Linked DNA regions of Mus musculus. The protein of the gene in region 1 purifies or fractionates together with the protein of each later gene. This does not show direct contact. Links are inferred from orthologs where the notes say so. Each region holds a gene or a part of one and is shown on either strand. Other genes may lie near its edges.

Region 1 (3,567 bases):
CGCACGCCTTTAATCCCAGCACTCGGGAGGCAGAGACAGGTGGATTTCTGAGTTCGAGGCCAGCCTGGTCTACAGAGTGAGTTCCAGGACAGCCAGGGCTACACAGAAAAACCCTGTCTCGAAAAACCAAAAAACCAAAAAAAAAAAAAAAAGAAGACGAACCAAGTGTTAGGCCCATGACTTTACTGGGGTATCCCATAAGGAAATCAAGGCCAGGGAGGGTGAACAGATGGGTAAATAAAGTCAGTACTAACAAGGGTTTACCAGTGCTCATAGAGTTAGTAAAAGATTGATCTGAACTTACTACCCACGAAAAATAAAAATATTTTAATACATTCATTTATTTATTTAGGGCACAGCTATACCATCATGTTCACAGGGGCTACACAGAGAAACCCTGTCTCGAAAAACAAACAAACAAACAAACAAGGTCTATTAACATAATGACTCTGACAAGGTAATCATAAATATTAAAAGTGCTAGACATAGTGGCGCACGCCTTTGATCCCAGGACTAGGGAGACAGAGAATGGTGGACCTCTGAGTTCAAAGTCAGCCTGGTCTACGTGGTGAGTTCTAGAATGGCCAGATCAAGAAGAGCCTGTTGGGGGAGGGTGGTGGAAAGAGACAACCTCCCCACCCCCAATTTTTTTCAAAGCAGCAACAAAGACACATATTAAATGGGTTCTTTTGTATTATTCTAAACAAGTAGTAGCCAGTTCTCATTTAATTTATCCTATTGAATCTACCCCTAAAAAAATTAATGAAGCAAGAATATTTCCCAAAATCATCCCTGACCTCTATTAGTTTTATTCTATTCTAACATTTAGCACAATATTTATTGCACACATTAATGAATGAAGAAAGCAGAGCAGGTAGTATTTATTTAGAGATTCTAAATTGAGTTACTCTGTGGATACAACTTTGTTCTCAGGATTCAAAGAAGCCACGGTCTGTTGTTCTACCACTACCCAAGTATCTTTCCCAAAACTGGTGACAAAGACACACTGCTGCTTTCCTGATGATGACGCTCCCTTTCCTCCCTTGTTTCCTCAGAAGACAATGCCAGTAAGTAATGAGGTTGGGAGAAAATGGGCAACTAGAGAGAAATCAAAGTAAAAGATGCAAATGTGGTACAAAAACCATGCAGTACAGACATGATCAGAAACCAAAGCACTGATAGGTCTGAATCTAGGAGCACTTCAAGTTGGGAAAATTATAGAGAGTCAACCTCTGCTTGTTCCCTCATCTGGAGAAATATTTACCAGGAAGAAACTTAATACATGCAAGAACAACACTTTACACACAGAAAGTGCTACTGAGATTTCTGTCAGTCACTGTTATCAGCTGTATGAAATAGGATGGCAACACAGAAGTAGCCTGCTCAGTCTCAGCTTCTGGTCAAGCTACAGCCTCTGTAAACAGCCTTCTTGCCTGAGCACTTCTCATGCATACTTCTTCTAACATTTCAGTACTGGTTCCTGTTTGAGCACAGTGAAAGTAAGATATGCACTACGTCAGAATAAAATATCCCATTTTCTTTCATATACTCTGATCAGTAAAAGTAAATTATAGCTAGGCATGGTAGCTCATGTCTACAATCCAAACACTGAAGAAGCAGTGGCAGGAAGAACTGTCAGGCCACACCAGTAATTCAAAGCCAACCTGGACTATCCCCTTGAGAACTCATCATAAATATAAATCAATATTGTAAATTTAAGAGATTGCATATTCTTTCACATTATAAAAAGCACATATATATCCTCTTGTTTAGAACAATATTTTCACATGTACTGCTTCAAAACTTACTTTAAAACTAAATGCAAGTTAGCAGAGAGCCGGGGATCTGTAAATTGTGTTGTTCTGTTGTTATGGTCAACGAAATAAACTCTTCCTGTTGCGGTATTGCGGATCTCCCATCCAGGAGGCAAAGGACCGAGCTCTTCACAATTGATGTTGCTAAGATCCCTGCAAAACAAATATACAACAGAAATACCTCATTACTGGGCTTGCTGAGCCAAGCAGCGTATGTGACACAGAGCAATTCCATGAAGTCTGAGAGAATGTATTGTTTCAGAAACTTGAGATGCTCAGCTGGAATCTTTAATTCCCAACGGTTTCACAAACTTGCACATTCAACACCCAATTCCTAAATGGATCAAAACTTATCACACAGTCTGGCAATCATACTACTTGCCAACATAAACTACACTTCAATATTTGTTTGACAGAAAGTATTGTTTTACAAGCGTCAACCATATAAAAAATTTCTATTCAATATTTTCTTTCTTTATTATATCATAAAGTTGGGTGTAAACAAATGTGCATGCAATGAGTGATTGTACTGTTCTTCAACAAGCAAAACTGGAAACATTACTAAAATCCTGATCCTGGAAATAATCATAACATTTCTTTTTTAACAAAATATGTTGTTTTAAAGTTTTGAAGTCTATAAATTTCATGAAGAAAAACCTGGTAAGGATACTTAAGAAGAATGTTTTAAGGTTTATTGTAGCAACAAAGAAAAGATCAAGTACTTTTAGCAGACAAGGACCACTGTATCACACACCATAAGGATATATAGGACCACACAGAACGCAGCTGAATGCTCTGAGGTGGCTGGTGGGGTTGGGGTGCCTAGAAGCATAGAAGATCTTGGCCCTCCCTAACCTTGTTCTATGTGTACTGCTCCCTTCCGGCTGTTTATGAACCAGCAACAGCAGTGTAGATTTTCATCCTGTCCTGCTAGAGCAAAACTTCTACAGAAGGAGACCATCCCAGAGTGTCCAAGTTACTGGAGGCTGCAGGCGAAGATGAACAGTGTCCACTGAGGCATTACCAGCTCTTAGAGATTTCTTCAAATAATGATTCTGATTTCTGCTTAAAATGATCCTGGCCACTCCTTTGCTGCAGAACAACTAAAGCTTGAGAACCACTACAGAAGAGGCAAAGCAAAGTTCTGAGAACCTTCAGTTCACAATAACAACGAAGAACTGACTTGGTTCTGTTCAACAGAGAACGGACTCCCCGATGGGGTGCGCTCAAGTGGGACTTGAGTGGCAGCTGGGAAGAGGGAGATCAGCACCAAGATTGGGGAAAAAGTCCTGGAACTTCTCAAGCCGAGAGCTCAAAAAGGTGAAGCAATTCTAGAAAAACTTTCCAAATTCCCATCATAGGACCAGAGAATGCCAACTAATAAGGATCAAGTAACACATGAGGCATGGTGGCATATAACATAATCCCAGCACTCAGAGGCTGAGGACATAGGTAGAGTGCAAGCTCAAGCCCAGCCTGGGCTACAGACCAAGATTGTGTCATCTAAAAAACAAAACACACACACACATATGCATGTACACACAGACACACACACACACACACACACACATGCATGTACACACACATACACACACACACACATGCATGTACACACACACACCTTTAAACCCAGCAGAAGCAGGTGAATTTCTGTGTGTTCTATATCAGCCAGAGCTACATAATGAACCTACCTCAAAATCAAACAACACAACACAACACAACACACCAAACTCAAGTAAGAACCTCACACAAC
Region 2 (3,567 bases), on another chromosome or scaffold:
GCTGGCCAGCCAGCCTAGCTAAATTGGCAAGTTCCAGGCCAGTGAGAGACCCTATCTCAATAACCAAGGGGGGCATCCCCTGCAGAATAGCACTGGATGTTGATCTCTGGCCTCCACATGCATGTGGGCACAGGTACACATCTCTGCACACATACATGTATACCAAAGATAAAAAGAAAGAGATCTACCACCATGTCTACAAGGATAGCTATCTTGTCTGTAATCATAATCAGGCTCTGAGGTGAGCAGAAGGTGGAGAGAGATAAACGAAGCCGGTGCAGGAGAGTTTGGGACACTCAAGTGGAAACCACTTCCTAAGGAATGCACAGACTCAACTGCTCTATCCAGAGACTGGTCATTCATCGTCCCCTCTTTCTGTCCCTCTCTCTTGTCTTCAACAAACCTCTGTGCCCCAGGAGGAAGAACGACAAGAACATTACTCTGGAGACGGTTTGCCACGACCCCAAGCTCACCTACCACGGCTTCACTCTGGAAGATGCCGCTTCTCCCAAGTGTGTCATGAAGGAAAAGAAAAGGGCGGGCGAGACTTTCTTCATGTGTGCCTGTAACATGGAAGAGTGCAACGATTACATCATCTTTTCGGAAGGTGAGTAGTTATCCCGGGTAACAGTCCTCCAGGGGAGCACTGCTGTGTGGAGCACGGAGAGGACAGAGGAACTCAAGAAGCAGTGGGCTCCATGCTTGCCCTTCTCAGATTTGATTCCCATCTTGGTACCTGGCCCTGACAAGCAATTTCTGTCCTCCAGAGCGATGGTTCTTTTCCCAAGCTCATTCTCAGGGCATCTGCAGCAGCTGGGGATTGTTAGCAGTGGAGATTATTAGTATTATTTAAAATTTATTTTCTCTCTGTGTGTGTGCATGGATTTGTGGCTGTGTGCATAGTATATGTGCACATTTGTGCTCATGTGTATGACGTCCAGAAGCCAACTTTGGAAGCCACTCCTTAGCAGCCATCCACCTTGCTTTTTGAAGCAGGATCTTTTACTATGGCAAGATTAGTTTGGGCTGGCTGGCCTAAGATACCACTCTATACAGAATTATGGATAAGTAATAAATGCACACATGTTACTGAGATACTTTTAGTTAATTAATTACCCTGTATGTTCATTTATTTTCCTTGAGGCATTCACTGTGCTACTCATTAGCCTGTGATTCACTAAGCACAGCCCAGGTTGGCCTCAAATTTGGAATCTCCTGAGTGCTGGGACTGCAGGCCTGAATATTCTTTGACGTTCCTTTCCTTCATCTATTATTTCCTTGAAATGAAACAGCCTTTGAAAAGCGCAGTTGCTGGAGCCTAAGGAATGTGCACAATGGACCAACAGCTCCATGGTCTGGAGACCCGCCTCTCTCTGACTCCCAGTAGCTTCCCTCATGCCCTTTGGCAAAGAGTTCCTACTGGGACTCATATTCTTGCTGTTTTACATCTGTTTTTTGTTTTTAGTTTTTGTTTTTTTGTTTCCTGCCTGTGTTTTGTGACTTCCAATTAAAACCAATAGCCATGACCTTGACACAAATCCTTTAAAGTATGGATGTTGGGTGCCCTCAGTGTTTGAAGGCATGATGTTACTATTCCAGATGCCCCAACCTCTAGATGTATGTATGTATGTGTGTATATATGTATGTATGTGTGTATAGACAATCTATGGGCAGTCAGACAGACAGACAGAGATTGGCAGGTCTTTTTTTTTTTTTAACCTATCTACCTGCTACATGCCAGTCCCTTCAGAAGAAGGGACAGATTACAGAGAGACCTTGTCATCTAGTCAGAAAGCCATCCAGGTATCCCCAGCCTGAAGCCTGCAGGCTACATGTGCACCAGGATAGCTATGAATAGAGACCAAAGCAATATCATAAACATCCTTAAAACTCTGTAGGATGTGTTTTGTGATTTGTTTATGTTTTACTTTGGGCGTGACTGATTGCATGGTTCTCCAGCATGAACTTTGTAGATCACACTGTCAAAAGGCTGGGCATGTCTGGAAATGTTAAAAAAAAATGGGCCTTTGCTTTCTCTGGCATCTCCTACCAGCCTCCCGTGGCAGCAGGCTTTGTGTGATGTCTGGTGGCTTCAGTGCATCTTGCATTGGCCAAGGAGAAAGAAGAGGAGAAAGCAGCAGAAACAGAGGGAACACTAGCCAGAAACTGCCCGCTCTTCAGAGCTGTCCCCAACACAGCTCCCTAGAACTGTCCCCAACACAGCTCCCTTGCCTTCTCTGGAGAACGCTTTAACTGGGGGGACCTGAGAACCTACCCAATACTCATCTAAATTCAGAATGCAAATTAGTAGAGGGGGTGTCATGATGGCCATCTGACAGCCATCCGTCAGCAAGACTTGATAGGTGCCAGAACAGAAGTTTAGTCTAGCTGGGCGTGGTGGCGCACACCTTTAATCCCAGTACGTGGGAGGCAGAGGCAGGTGAATTTCTGAGTTCGAGGCCAGCCTGGTTTACAGATTGAGTTCCAGGACAGCCAAGGCTACACAGAGAAACCCTGTCTCAAGAAATCAAAAACAACAACAACAACAACAACAAAAAGTGTAGTCTAAGATGTAGCAGGGCAAGTGTTATCAGGAGTGGCTGTCTTATAACCGCAAGATGGCACGCTAATTTTGCAAGACATTTATGTTTCGTTTTTGGTGTTTTATATGTGTACATGTGGTGTCTGTGTGTGTGTGTATGCACATCTGCATACAAGTGTGCACGTTCATGTGGACGTTGATACTGGTTCTCTTTTTCTATCACTTTCAACCTTGTATGTTGAGCCAGACTCCCCCTGAACTCAGAACTCACCATTGGGCTTGGGTGGTTAGCCATCTTTGCCCTGGGGATTCCTGTCTCTGCTTCTGGAGAGCTGGGATTATGAGAGGGTTGCCACACTAGCTGGCTTTATGTGGGTTTTGGGGATCCAAACCCTGTTCCCCGTGCTTTGAATGCAGCAAGCACTTTACCTGGTGTGAAGTCTCTCCATACCTTTTGCAAGTCACCTGCTGATCTCTGCCTTCACTGCTAGGACTCAAAGGCGCTCACTGACCTGCTTGTTTCTTGGTTGGGTTCATTAGTTCCTTTCTTGCCCCATCCCTCTCTTCATTCTTTCCTTCCTTCCTATGTAGATAAAGTCTTATGCATCCCAGGCTGGTTTTGAGTTCATTATCTAACTGAGGATGATCTTGAACTCCTGACCCCCTTGCTCTACCACCCAAGTCTCAGGGTTATTTACGCTGGGCACCAAGCCTACTCAGCTTCTATAAGTGTATTAGCGATCTGAACTCTGGTCTTTATGCTGTGTGGCAAACACTTCATCTACTAAGCCACCTTCCCAGCCACACATTGTTTTTGAGACAGGGTCTCTTGATGATTCAGAACTCAGCAAGGAGGTTACATTGGACATTGAGCTCCAGGGATCCTTCAGTCTCCACTTCCCGGATGTTAGAGTAAGTGGCTTCAGGTCCGTTCTGGCATCTGGGTTCAACAGCTGAGTTCCAGCCAGGCCCTTTGAACACAGCATCCAGTAGCCTGGGTACCACACCACAGGCACACTGGAAAG

The links.
Region 2: the proteins of Smurf2 (region 1) and Tgfbr2 purify together in Homo sapiens (affinity purification with western blotting; 3 studies listed by BioGRID). This does not show direct contact. The link is inferred for Mus musculus from reciprocal best matches to the Homo sapiens genes SMURF2 and TGFBR2.

What each region holds. Positions count from the first base shown.
Region 1 is NC_000077.6:106,844,175-106,847,741, forward strand, and holds part of Smurf2 (E3 ubiquitin-protein ligase SMURF2), read right to left. Parts: intron 1,968-3,567; coding exon 1,809-1,967; intron 1-1,808. UniProt on the Homo sapiens protein: E3 ubiquitin-protein ligase which accepts ubiquitin from an E2 ubiquitin-conjugating enzyme in the form of a thioester and then directly transfers the ubiquitin to targeted substrates.
Region 2 is NC_000075.6:116,126,856-116,130,422, reverse strand, and holds part of Tgfbr2 (TGF-beta receptor type-2 isoform 1 precursor), read left to right. Parts: intron 1-416; coding exon 417-607; intron 608-3,567. UniProt on the Homo sapiens protein: Transmembrane serine/threonine kinase forming with the TGF-beta type I serine/threonine kinase receptor, TGFBR1, the non-promiscuous receptor for the TGF-beta cytokines TGFB1, TGFB2 and TGFB3.